Mytilus edulis: one gene and its partner. The protein of the gene in region 1 purifies or fractionates together with the protein of each later gene. This does not show direct contact. Links are inferred from orthologs where the notes say so. Each region holds a gene or a part of one and is shown in the gene's direction. Other genes may lie near its edges.

Region 1 (7,333 bases):
TGTCACAATGTTCAGGGTACAAACCGAATGTCACAAATGCTTAGGGAACAAAACGACTGGGACAAATGCCAAAGGTACAAAACGACTGCATGGAACAAATGCTCAAATCAAGCATGACTGGGACAAATATTCAAGGTACAAAACAACTAGGACAAAAGCTCAGGGTACAAAACGACTGGAACGAATGGTCAAGGTACATAAATTTAAGACTAGAACCAATACTTTATGTACAATTGCTGAAGGTACAACACGACTTGGACAAATGTTCGGTGTACAAAACGACTGGAACAAATGTTCAAGGTATAAACTGGCACAAATGTTCCAAGTACAAAACGACTTGGTACTACATTCGATCAATGTATTAGTCCCAAAAAATGAGGATAACAAAAAAACACTGACCTACCCTATAATCATTTGTTTAACGGTTTTAATATGTTTCTGATATAAGACTGTGTAATGTTATATAAAAAAAAAAGGAGATGTGGTTTAATATGAAATTAAGGAAGGTGGTGTGATATACAAACAGGAGAAGTGGTAGGATGGCCTATGTGACAACTATATCCAACAGAGTACAACAAAGTGTATTTAAGCATGCATTCAAATATGAATATGTAGGTCACCATAGTTGATGCGACCTTCAAAACCATGTTGTAAAGTCTGCTATAAAAGGCCCCGACATGACAAAATGTGAATAATTTCAAACGGGGGGAAAACGAACAGATTTATAACCAAACTAATAAACGAAAAAATATTTTCTTTGGTATTTATTTTTAGCTTTTCTGATCGGATCCTATGAAGCCCTATGAAAGGTGGTGTTGCAAGTTTTATATCCTTTTTTAATGCAAGCATGTATATTGTGTAATCGTGATGCTAAAAATAATTTTAGTGAGCCTAATGTTTGAGTGTGTGCAATAACGGGCATGTAATTGTTAACATTTCAGAATTTTGTAATCTTTTGTTAGTAATCCGAACAGATACCCTGCGAACTGCGTGTTCAAAGGAATAAATGTACACCACACACTTGACAAAAAACTCCAGAACAATAACGGTTCAGCTAACTATATCTTCCATTGTCCTTGGCCTATCCTGCTTAATCACTCGTAAACCTTACTTAGTCATACAAAGGCCATTCAAAAATACACAAATATTACTTGATATTTTACTTCAATATTTTAGTTAGTAAAATATCATAAACCTCCAGCCTAAAATCAATTCAATGTTCTTCCATTTCAACTTTTTATACGAACATCCAGTAAACCAACTAACTTTAAGATTCTGTTTACCGAACCATGAGTCATTAGAATTGAACTAAATCTGCACAATTATAAATATAAAAAGATCAAATAAAAAGGTAAACTAAAAAGAAAGCCGAAAAACTAAACAGAATGTGAAATTGCAGTAATATCAGTTCAACAAAATAACGGAGTTTTATTTGCTTTCCAGTTGACTGGGCTACGACCTATTTATAAATTGGTTTATTAAACAATCCAACTTTTCAAACTTCAATAAATATTGACCAACAGTATTGCATAACATCTTGTCGAGAACAAATTCTGTAATACAGGTAGTTATATTCCACGAAACTACGTCACCTGTAAAACATTTCCACGAAATTACGGTTCATTTCGCAAGAAGAAATGGCTCAGTACAATAGCCCTGATGAAATTAAAATTATTTTCATACTTTATTTACCTATTAGTGTTGTAACAGTATAGACACATTTTAATTGATTGCTAACAGTAAAATCATGTATCCCGTTAAGAGTACAATTATACGCTATTATAAAGAGCTTCGGGGCTATACACATAAGCTATCTATTTAGGGGGGAAAGATAGAAAGTCCACGACTCCGAATACATGAAAATAGTTTTTAAAAACCAACAACACAAGAATACAAACTTATGTTGTCTTCGTCTTAGTCCGGTGTTTTAGGTGTCCGTTTTATATACGTTTAAGACGTTTTGCTACCTAAAGCATCAAAACCAGAATACACTGAAATGGTTAATGGAAGCAAAAATATACTTTAGAATCCCAAAGGGAGAGCAGGGATACAATGTAAGCTTTCGTGGTGTTTTTTTCACATCTCTTGAATGAAAATAAAATGTATCTTGAAAATGTTCGACTGTCTAAAGTATAATAAATGGACATTTCATATGACATTTTGTACCTATTAAAGAGACAATGTTTTGTAGTTTGGGCAACCTCAAAGACTAAAGATACATGTACAGTGTACCTACGGTTTCTTATATCAAGTTATTAGTCTTTCAAAATGCCTAATGGGTCTCAATAACACAAGAGGCAAATATCGAAGGCATTGTCATATGCTGATTTTGTTCTGTTTAATTATTTAGGGTAATGTAATTTTTTTTTCTTCACTGGATCAAACTTTTGAAAGTTACAATAAAAAATAACAAGGTCCTAGTATTGCCCACTTTCAAATTCGTTTTTCATCGGCAATAAATAAAACAGACGGTCAGATGAGGAAAACACATAGTATAAGAATGTTCACCCCTCCCCCTTTCCCGTCGACATCTATTATTTTATATATAGTATAAAACATCGTGTGGGACTAGTGATCACGGGTTAAAACTGACGAAATGGAACAAGTTTTGACAATCAAAAAGTATAACATGCTCGGTATGTTTAAAATATGCTGACAACATACGGATCTTATTTGTGTATTGGTCTGTGACCAGCCTTCCGGGTATATATGATGTAGAATTTATAAATAGCTTGATGAGGGAATACCCTTTTACTCCAATAAAAACTTTTAAATGGACCTTCTCGGCTGCTGAAAACAAAATTAAAAGGTATAATAATAGGATTTAAATGTCTTTACACGTGCTCTAAAATTTAAATGTCTCTGAAAGTGCAACTTTCGGTTTAAAAAGATATTGAGCATTTAAATTTTTATTTGTACCTCAAAACATACGGTGATAAATTTAAATGTCCCAAATGATGAATTTAAAGGCTTGAAATATTGAAAATTTCTAACATTTGTTGGGTAGAATTTGGTGAAAGAAAGACTAAGTACGGGAGTGAAAAATAACACCACTAAAATCAGGTAAGACGATTTACACAGGTAAAATCCGTGATCAATATAGGTGTAATACTGGGACGCGTTCAAACACATCTCTTGTCTTTGTAAATAGGTATTTTGTGTTGTGTTTGTTTATTTCGTTGTTGCTAAAGAAACCCGTTACAAATGGATTGAGACAAAGTGCTCTTTAGTGGTTTAACATGCGTGTAACGGGACCTCGACCATGACGAAAAGAAAGGGGCGGGACTTTGTTAAAAACCCAGGTAGCATGTTAAAGCTTGAAGATAATGGTGTACTGTTTGATCTCCTATTACCTGTCTGCTTGACGACACAGTGGATCAACGATTGATCGATCGGCCATTTAAATATCACCCCAATTAAATTTTGATTGGAAATATTCGTACATGTAGTAGATTTAAATTGGAGGTTTAAATGTCTGCAACAAATATAGATGTAAACAAAGATTAATATTAATAACATTACAACGTGGTTTGCACTTCACAAATATTATATTCCTGATTCTACTTTTCATTTCATTACCTGTCAACCTTTTACCGTATTAAATTACATTTGTTACATAACTTCAACTGTACATGTTTATACTTAAATGGTCGATCAATGTACCGTAACTATTCCAACTGTAGCAATTGAATAATTTCCAATCAGTACCCTCTTCTGAAAACATTGATGTTTATGGTAACAATAAATTTAAATTCCATGGAACTGTCAAATAGTTGCTTTGAAAGTCAAGATTTTTTCTGATTTCAAAAGTTTGACACTTTTTGGTTAGTATATAAATAGTCAATTATCAACATATAGGATACAAATTTTTTTTTCAATGAGTAAAATAAAATAAATACTGACCTGTATGCGTTCTCATATGAGCTTGGAGAGATTTTTCTCGAGGAAAAACCCGATTACACACATGACAACGTATTCCACTATGGGACACTGCACCTTTGAAGATCAATGAAGTGATTAGCTCGGCCCTCGGACGTCCTCTCTTCATATAATCTTCCAAATCAGCTGAATCTTCATCAGGGGAATTCCTATCCATATTTGATGCTGGTTCAATTATAGATTCTGGTTTACTTTCATCTTTAAATCCCCACGACGGCATGGTTAAATCACTTCTTTACCTTTCGTTGTGTCACCCTTGTTCATAGGTATTTAATTCTTACCTGTATAAACCCGTTATCGTGCCAACTGAACTCCACCAATCGGGTATGTGGTATAAAAATAGATTTAAAAAAAGGATTTCGTGGTTTCCCCGTCGTTGCTATGCATTGTGGGATATAAATTACAATTTCTTAAAAACACTTTAGTTATAGGCTGAATTATAATATGCATGAAGACTTTAGTTATTCAATGTACTCTTAAATGTTTAAACTGCGAGAAAACTAGTGGCAAAACAGAGGCTATAAAATTTCTATGACTTACTCCCGCCAAATTTCTAAATATGGAACTTGAAAACAACCTTGAACTGTCGAGACTCTCGGGTTTTTATGTTACAACTAAGGAAGGATTTTTCCTCCGAATATTCTAATTCCAAAGCATGCTCATACTGTCTGGAGAGAAACACGCCATTTTGTAGCACCTTAAAAAGTAAGGCCGTAAAAATCCATTGCCATCCTCAGCATCAAGAGGAACAATGGACTCGCAATACGGCATAGCAGTGACTAATAAGTTCTGTCTTTTTGACGACGATGATGATGTCGATCCATATGAAATCCTGAAGCAAGAGGAACAGAAGAGAACCGAGGCTTTAGCGAAGGAGAAAGCTGACAAGTCCAAACCAACTAAAAAGACAAAAAAGACAGCACCACAAACTGATAACAAGACTAAATTGACAGAGCAAAACACACAAAAGAAAGAAGGTAATAATTCTATCGTGCAGAAATGATTATTTGCATTGTCTTGATTGTTTATTAGGTAACCCGTTTGACATTTGTTCACAGATAACACGCTTGAAGTCCAAAATACTTCGTTATATTTGTTTCCCCCCTCCACATTCACGTGTATATGTATGAAAACTGGTTACCATCTGTACCAGATGATAAATATATATTTTGCAATGATGTTGAAGTTATGTTTATCATGTGGTCTTGACCATGTTTGGTTATGTAGTTTACTAGTTATGTTCCACCATGTTTTCTGATCCTGAACCTACTTCTATTATATTAAGGACAGTCTTGCAGGGAAATACGGTTGTATGCAACTTAAGGTGGGGTACAAAACAAATGAAGGTTTTTGTAGTTTTTGGTTGTAAATACTGTGACGCAACATGGTAAAAAAATATTGCAATTGATTAAACATGCAACTCTTCTGATCAGCTGCTTCTGATGCAGATATAGATTTTATAAATTTAGCTATTTTTGATTGTCTAAATTGCTAAATCTCTGTTAAATGAACTGATGGACAAGAAACCAGCTTTTGCGAAAGACCACAAAAAAAATGAAATTTATATTAGAACTGCCAGAAAACTGCACTTACATTACCAGCTTTTCAGTCACATGTAGCGGGGTTGCTTCCCCTTAGTACAGGTAGAACATATATAGCCAGTCTTAATCAACTGAGCTAGGGAATCGATTCTTTGGCTCAGTGGGTTAACGCACTGACTGTCACCCAGACGACCGGGGTTCGAATCCCGGTGGTGACGATTCGATACGATACGTGCTCTCCGGTTACATTGGCGCCCAACTAAAAAAATCCACGATGGTTATCTGGAGTATAGCCAGGGTTTGTGTTGTTAAGAGTCATATATGAAGATATGATGACTCTTGTGGTGGGGGAATAGTGTAGCGGGGTTGCTTCCCCTTAGTACAGGTAGAACATATATAGCCAGTCTTAATCAACTGAGCTAGGGAATCGATTCTTTGGCTCAGTGGGTTAACGCACTGACTGTCACCCAGACGACCGGGGTTCGAATCCCGGTGGTGACGATTCGATACGATACGTGCTCTCCGGTTACACACACAAACAAAAAATAGTTGAGTGAGATCAAATTATATTTGTAAGTAAATTTGCATTATACTACAACAAAACCATTATAGTTGTGGGCTAAACTGTTTAAAAACAAAAATGAGAGTAAAGTAAAAAAAAACAATTCTTTTCCAAATTGCATTTTTATGCCTCATTTATGGGCATTATGTTTTCTGGTCTGCGTCCGTTTGTCACGTTTCAGGTTAAGTTTTTTGGTCGAGGTAGTTTTTGATGAAGTTGAAGAGAAATCAACTTGAAACTTAGTACACATGTTCCCTATGATATTATCTTTCTAATTTTAATGCCTAAATGGGGATTCCCATTTTCACGGTCCACTGAACATAGAAAATGATGGTGCGATCCGTGTACTGGGGACAGTTTAAGGAAGAATTTTAGTAATTTTGTTTCCACTCTACCACACATGTATCCAGTACTATTCATGCAATGTGTAAGCTAAGAGGAAGTTTTTTGTTGATTTGAATTTGAGCTTTAGACCCATAGTTATAAAAGAGGGACGAAAGATACCAAAGGGACAGTCAAACTCATAAATCTAAAACTGACAACGCCATGACTAAAAAAAGACAACTTTGTTTATGGTATTGGTGGGCACACAAACAAAAGAAAGTAACTATGTAGGAATACCTTTAATAGATAATTCATTTCAACCAGGCCTAATAAAAAAAATTGAGCCTTATAATGGAAAAAATTTACAAGATCCCCTATTCTTGGGATTGTTCATTTTGAAATTTCAGAATTTATCATTGTATGTTTTATAAGACAGTATTTATTACAATTACAGAAAAGGTGGTCCCATCCCAAGCGAGGACTCAGCAAAATGAAAGGCCTCCAAGGAGTGCTAGACAGAACAGAGAAAATAGAGAACCAAGGGAAGACAGACGGCCAAGAAGACCTGAAGAAAACTCATCTATGACTAATGAACCAAGGTATAAGAAATAGATTATTATCGTTGATCATCTCATCATCGAGATTGATTTTCTCACTTAAGTCTGTATAGCGAAATTTAGAAAATCAATCAAGTTGAGATGACCAATTATAATCTGTTAGTCGCTATTTAACCTATGAGGTCAGAGGATGTTGTTAATTTCGTTGACAACAGGCATATATACTCCCTTAAATTCTAGCCATAATTTTTCATATCGCTCGACTCCATTGGAAGGAAATTATCAGTCAGTAAGATAAAAGAATATTTAGTATTATTGTATAGCAATATATTATTTCCAACAGAAAGTAACCAAAAGTTAGCGTGCAATAAATTTTAACATTGCACTAGTGCAATAAGTCTTCAAAATTC
Region 2 (7,624 bases), on another chromosome or scaffold:
TAAGGCATATTGAGTACATTATATAATTGAAAATTGTACTTACTGACTAGTAAATACATGTACATTTTCAAAGGATACCATTTTTTTGCCTGGCTATATGTCTTAATTGTATCAAATTCTTAGGGTGGAATTTCAAAATATTATACATGTAGATGAGGATATTGAGAAGGGTATTTATTACCTTACACTTGCAAATTGACATTTACATATAATAATTAAAATATACAATTGTAAATTGGATATACATGAAAATTATCTATTGGACTTGTGGAACTTAAGGCTTGCATCTTTCTACAAATTTTATGACCTTGACTTTTTAGCTTGCAATTTTAATCTTTTTCACAACTCTTCTTCAAGTAGTGGTGAATGCTCATAGTAGTGTTGAACACTCATACCAAGCTTATGTATTATTACCTTACTCCTTCAGGTATTCAAAGTTTATGAATCTGGACATGAGGCATTGTAAGGTTTGTGAAGTTTGGTGGGGTTCATGTTGCTCAGTCATTAGTTTTCTATGTTGTGTTTAGTGTACTATTGTTTGTTTGTTTATCTTTTTCTTTTTTAGCCATGGCGTTATCAGTTTATTTTCCACTTATGAGTTTGAATGTCCCTTTGGTATCTTTTACATCTTTTTTAAATTATTCATTTGACCTTGATCATTAGGCTAAATGTAGGTCATTGTAAACCTTCTGGTAGTTGTAATTATTAATAAATAACATCACCTTTTTACTCCAACGAGTATAGAGTAGACAGGATGTATTGAAAACACAAACTCACTATATAGGATGACTTCCAATGCTGGTTGAGCATTAAAGCTAGTATTAATATGGTTGATTGATGGGTGTATTGCACTGCATCAGAGCAAAAAGTCTTTAGAGTGTTGGCCATTAATATTAATAGAATACAAGTTTGACTAAACAATGAAAATAAATAGTCCCAAATTTAAATGTATTACTTACAGAAAACTTCTCTAGTGCATCTTTCAATGAATTCTTCTGAACATACCTTAAAAAAAGAATTCATGTGCAATTTAACTATGTGCATGTACATTTTTTGTACATTTACTTTAAATATGTATACCCGTATTTCAAGTTGGAATTAAGAAAATTTTATATATTTTTCAGGTTGGATGATCATTGATGTATAAGCCAAGAAGCAGAGCCAATGTCTACATGCAATATTGAGACACTAGAGGAAAAAGGACACAGCTTTCGTCTGACATTGGGTTCAATTTAGTGGTGGTTTGAGGTCTGGGACCTACAAATGTATCAAGTTTACGGTTGGACTTTAGTGGTGGTTCGAGGTCTGGGACCTATCAAGTTTACGGTTAGACTTCAGCAGTGGTTTGAGTTCTGGGACCTATCAAGTTTACGGTTGGACTTTAGCAGTGGTTCGAGATCTGGGACCTATCAAGTTTACGATTGGACTTTAGCAGTGGTTCGAGGTCTGGGACCTATCAAGTTTACAGTTGGACTTTAGCAGTGGTTAGAGGTCTGGGACTTAACAAGTTTACGGTTAGACTTTGGATACGGTTATTATTGCTTCACCTGAGGGACTTACCGGTAAGTCTTCAAGTTCCAGAAAATAGATGATGAATTTCTTTATGAAACACTTTGTTATAACTTGTAAATTGATGTGGTAATGAGTCACGATAAAATACTTTTGCATACCTGCCAACTTTTGAAAGTGCCCATGGGGGTTTTAGTGCGCGACAACAATTTCAAAGGTTACAATACTTTGCGACGACTATTTTGCGCGTGCTGTTTTTGTGGTCTAGAAAAAGTGTCATATTTGTAAGACGAACTTACATGCTTTTTTCTTAAATTTATTTGCATGATTCTAGTTATTACATATCAGTAGAAAAGATGAACATGTGGCTGCAAGACCAAGAATTAATTTCATGTGTAAGGATATTAAATAATTGTTGACTTTTCCAATTTAAAATTGTGCACAAAGAAGGACCTTTATCAGGTTGGGAACAACACCTAGGGGTAACCCCTCAATGTTAGGACATTATAAACCACTTTTTAGGTAAAAATGAGCACATATTCATATTATTTGAAGAAACTTTTCCCAAAGAACTATTATAATACATCTTATGATCTATCTGGTATTATATGGTCAACACATGTCCATGATGTCCAAGAATTTTGATATGTTCTTGGCCTTATATCTTCTTTATTTTTCAAAATAATTAGACCCTTCATTTAGAAAAGTTGTTCTAAATATAATGTCAGAATTTCCGATTTTTAAGTTAAAAAATCTACATTTAATGATTTTTCTATTTTATTTTTTACAAGAGTAAAATAACCCCTTGACTAAGGAAAGTCCTTCATTTAAGAGGTTCCTCGTGTGGGGGGTTTTGTTTTGTCCATGTGACAAATAAATAATAGTACATTGTACTTTAAATAATTTGGTAATTTAATTGAATACATAAATTTATAACATTTGTTACAGCAAGTGTAATGTCAATGAATTAGTGAACAAATTACTATTTATTATCTTTATGGTAGTACTGCATCATTGAAGTTTGTCAATCAGTCATGCTTTTATTCTTATTCTGTGTAAGAACCTCCTTTTAGGTGAAAAACCATTTGCCATGTTCACGATTTTAACAAACAGAGGAATACAACACAAGTTCAAAATCTAGAATGTTAGAATATTCTTGAGAGAAAACTTTTTTGATTGGCTGATTAATTTGATCATGAGAAACATAGAATTTGATTGGCTGAACAAAATTGTATTCCATTTGACACAGTTCAAAATCGGGAACAATCATATTTTTCGTGTAGATTTTCACAAAATCGTGTTTAAGAGGGTTTTTCACGATCACGATCGTGCAATCGTGACAAAGGGTCAAAATCGTGTAGTACACGCCTAAATCGTGAAAGTTGGCAGGTATGCTTTTGTGATAAAATTTATTTTTAACTTGATGATCTACTTCCTTGTTCATTAATAGTACAGCGTGCCTCAGATGACAATTTTTATGGGTGCTTTTGTAGAGGTCTTTGTTCGCCATATTGTTAATGCATGCGGTTGTCAACATTGTATAACGATAAGAAAATGAGTGTTATTGTTGAATTGCAGGTTCAACATATTTTAAAATATGAAGTTATTTTCCGTGATAACTTTAACTTTGAATGTCATGGCGATTTTATTTTTTGTTAGTTCATACACAGAATATCTAAATAAATATTTACAGTCCACTGAAACCTATAAAATTTAACTCATCATAATGACTTGATTAATCAAATCATTAGTCTATAATTGGTTTGTTTATTCAACAATTGTCTGATGATTGTGAACTAAGGTAATGCCACTTGTAATCACTTAATTAAATCAAATCCTGAATATCTTTATATTCATTCCTTATAAAAATATTTTTTATTGGGGACGGATCAACTTTACATATGGGCTGGATCAACGTGGGGCCAGATCGACTTGGGACGGATCGACCCGAAAGCTACCATCAATGACATCATGGACTTGGGGTGGATCGACCTGAAAGCTACCATCAATGCCATCATCAGTTAAACATACATTCATAATTTCATTCCTTATAAAATTGTCATGTCATAATTTAATTTCATTTTGAATATATATATATAAATGTGACACCTTTAGTAAAAGATCAATAACCTGGTATAAGTATTGTTTATTTAGAAAAAAAACACAATACTGGTACAATACTGGAATACAATACTGGCACAAAATTTTTATACCAGTATTGGGTATCAGGTCCGTTCGCGCCCAATACACTTTCGCACCCTACACGTTCGCACCTTGCACGTTCGCACCCAAGGTCCGTTTGCACTCTAAACGTTTGCACCCAATTTTAATTCAAATTCCAGTTAAATAATTGGAAAAACATGACTGTTGTTTTAAATTGCTTAAGTGTAAATACTGAATGTATTTATAACTTGGTTTGAGTAAAACAATGAAGATTTTAAATGAAAAACACAAAAGATAATTGTTTTTAACAGCTTGGTCCCTCTTATAGATCTGAAACAATGAAACAATAAAATATAGCAATACACAAATTATAAGTTAACCAAAACATGATGAAATTTATTCAACACGCAAAAAAAATAACCGTAGTCAGAATCTCATTTTATTTTGAAACAAGTCAGTGGAACAAAGTAACCAAAACATGATTAAGAGTTATTCAACACAAAATAAAACTTTGACAGAATCCCACTCATGACTATATTTAGAAAGGATTATTATTTTTTTAACAATACATTTTCTGAAACATGATTAAGATTTATTCAACACAAAAAAAAATGCTGTCTCACTTTATTTTGAGACAATGACAACAATTATACTTATAAGAATACAGTTGCCAAAACTTGATTACAAAAATATTAAACACAAAACCAATTAAAATTGGGCGCGAACATGTAGGGTGCGAACATGACTTTGGGTGCGAACATGTAGGGTGCGAACATGAGTGGGTGCGAACGTGAATGGGCGCGAACGGACTCAGATTCCCAGTATTGCGATAACCAACTACACTGATAGTCACTGTACACAAATATTTAAGGATTTTTTTTTCTGATTTTCTTAATCCATACCGCTTTGGTGTTGCTTCCTCTGCGTCATAAAATTCTTCTAGTTCACTATCGGACGACATTTTGTCACCTGAAGTGGACAGAAAACATTATTTACTGATATCTACAAATGAGTGTTGTCATTTCTGCCAAAATAATCCAAAAAAGGAAGTGGCAAAGTCTTTCTCGGGGTTTATTATAAAGTCAATGGAAAATTCCGAGACAATCCGAATAACTTAGATTTTTGGAAATGCTCCCTGAAAGTCGATGTTCCGTACTTTTTTCGTTCAGACTATAGTTTAATCTTGACAAGAATTGATGAGTTTCGGCCACAAACTTCTATTCTATTGCATTTTAACTTCAGGACTGTGTGAAATATAAAGAGAGCGTGGAAAATACTTAAATTTCCCATCATTCCCTGTGTTCAAAATGGAAAACCTTGTGGTAGAAGTTTGCGGGGCAAATGGAGCATTTTATCAGGTAAAATATTGTGTCAAACAATGAGTATTTGTTGAATTCTGAAGAAAAAAATATCAGATACCTACAGAAGGAGCATATTGACCCTTTTATTGATATGTCTTAAAAAAAAGGTGTCCACAATATACATGACAAGTTTCACTTTCACTTGTCAACTTTTATGAAACTGAAACTTGTACTTTCGATTTACAAATTTCAGAAGGATAAAGATCAGTTTTTTTGCTATTAATTGTTTTGTAATTTTAATATCGAATTTGATTTTAGCAATTAGGTTAGAATGTTTTTCAAATGAGTCATTTTGTCTTATCATGATCTTTGTAGCTTCTCAGCTACAGTAAACTTTGATTGATGGAATGATAAAAGCATGAGTAGTGTGTTAAAGTGTATTTGTTATTGTATATAAAAGTTTACCTGCTTTTTATGAAGGATGAATTTTAATTCAGTAGTTCTAAGTACACTGTTTTAAGGTTAAACACAATTACATAAATCTAATAGTTGAAGCATCAATATATTTAAAAAGTCTTGCAGTACATTTTTAGATATTACTTAGATGTTTGATAAAAAAAAAATGAATAAAACCATAGGATGAAGCTTTAAAGCCCTGAGGCATTACTGATTAGCTGTCCAATTTTTGTTTACCACAAAAAATGTATTAAAACGTATATCTTAATTAGAAAAAAGTATAAACAATTTTCAATTCATAGCCATAGGATCAACAATATGAATGTTAACATGTAACAGCACTTAGTATGTATTTTAGTTTAGTTGCCATCTTATTAACCATTGTGGTGACCTCTGAAGACTAAGAACTCACATTATTTGATGCATGATACATGTATAAACATTAATAAAGATTGACATTTTTTTCCTTTTTATATACAATGATACAAAAATGTATAACAACTGAAGAATGATTGTGTTACCCATCTCTTGTTAATTTGGACAAATTATAACCAAACTGACTTTGATGATTGAACAAAAAAAATATATTTCATTTTTTACATATATATATTTCATAGATAGTCAAACTATAATGGTGATTGGTAGCCATTCATATTAAGTTGAATAATTGTCTGACAGCTGTAATTTACTTGTTCAGATGACAGGTTAAAAAGTTTTTCCAGAACATCTACATTTTACATGTACATATGTATCATGTCAAATGTGACCATCAGTCAATTTTAACTTTCAAAAATTTCAATGGTTTGAATCTTTGAGATTTAGTCCAAAAAAATTGACTCTATCAGATCAGCAACATAAGGTAAAACTGAAAAGATGATGAATTTTAAAAAAAAATGGCATTAAAGATTTAAAAAAAAAGAATCATCAGAACCAAGTTTTTTAAACTAATGCACAAGTGCTTATGTGCACAGGTGTGTGATTTTATTAACAGCACAGCCCATGTAACCTTTATGAATGTAATACTGAAAAAGCAGAAATTTTCGTGGAGAATTTAATTTAGTTTATTTTGTGGAAAGAATATATCCATGAAATTAAAGCCCCCACGAAAATTTAACATACATATAATACCACTTACATTTAAGCTAGGATATCACAAAATTAAATCCCCATGAAATCTTACAGAGCGACGAAACCACGAAATTTTAACCCCACAAAAATTAAGGTTTCTATCTTTACAGTACTGAGTAGTAATGCACATCAACTTTCAATTCTAGGAAATATAATTTGTTACTAAAATTCATAGTAAAAGTTGCACAGTTTAAGCCATCAAGGTAGTTCTTACAGGAAATTGTATTGTCTATATATGTATATAAATTTACAGAAGTGCAACATACAGGTTTCATACATTTTAAGATAGAGTTGTGTCCCTTGTTCATTTAATTTTTGAATTTATTTGTGAAGTGTTTTTATTGTCTCTATAATAATAATAGAGGTCTTTACAATACTATTCAAAGAACATGATTTTATGAACCATGAAAATCTCATACATGAAAATGTGTTTATATCCAAAATACTGTATTTACAAGTCTCAATGCAAGTGGGGCAGACCATATGGGCACTGTAAATTTGTTTGTTTAGTTCATGAGATTAAAGATTAATAAGTTCTGAATTAAATCTACTAAATTTACACATTTGTTAAAGCAGCAGGGACAATATAGTTCTCTTAATAAACTTAAGTTGATTTAGGATTATTTCTTTTACTTACAATGTATTTATTTGACCGCAAAAAAATGCTGCCTTAATGGTATGGTGATGTCATAGTCGTCATATGAAGACATTTGGTTTCCAGACAATAACTTAAGTATAAGTGCACAGATCTCTGTGAATTTGTTCCACAAGGTTCCATACCACAAAAGGAAGTAGGGAATTGATTTGAGGGGTTAAGGCCCTAACTGTTTTAAGAATTGTCGGCAATTGTTAATCTTTTTTTTTAGAAAAAAAGTTTTTTACTAAGTTGCTTGATCATGTTCATATCTATAACAGTTAAAAAAAAAATACTAAAATGATTTTAAAAAATAGGTATTTTCTTATTCAAGAAAAAAAAACATTTTCTCATGTGCCATAACAGTCTGCACAGTTAGCCAGCCACAAGTCTGGTGCCCCAGACTAGTAATTTTTTTTTTTTTTTTCAACAA

Evidence for each region. The genes of interacting proteins can lie anywhere in the genome.
Region 2: the proteins of SERPINE1 mRNA-binding protein 1-like (region 1) and RNA-binding protein FXR1-like purify together in Drosophila melanogaster (affinity purification with western blotting; 4 studies listed by BioGRID, with this or other methods). This does not show direct contact. The link is inferred for Mytilus edulis from reciprocal best matches to the Drosophila melanogaster genes vig and Fmr1.

The regions. Positions count from the first base shown.
Region 1 is NC_092344.1:122,518,526-122,525,858, reverse strand, and holds the start of SERPINE1 mRNA-binding protein 1-like, read left to right. Parts: upstream 1-4,276; 5' UTR 4,277-4,690; coding exon 4,691-4,916; intron 4,917-6,820; coding exon 6,821-6,965; intron 6,966-7,333. Other genes in the region: uncharacterized protein, read right to left, coding at 3,904-4,159.
Region 2 is NC_092346.1:88,448,853-88,456,476, forward strand, and holds the start of RNA-binding protein FXR1-like, read left to right. Parts: upstream 1-4,633; 5' UTR 4,634-4,979; coding exon 4,980-5,030; intron 5,031-7,624. Other genes in the region: WD repeat-containing protein 44-like, read right to left, coding at 960-1,005, 4,575-4,633. UniProt on the Drosophila melanogaster protein: Polyribosome-associated RNA-binding protein that plays a role in neuronal development and synaptic plasticity through the regulation of protein synthesis of mRNAs.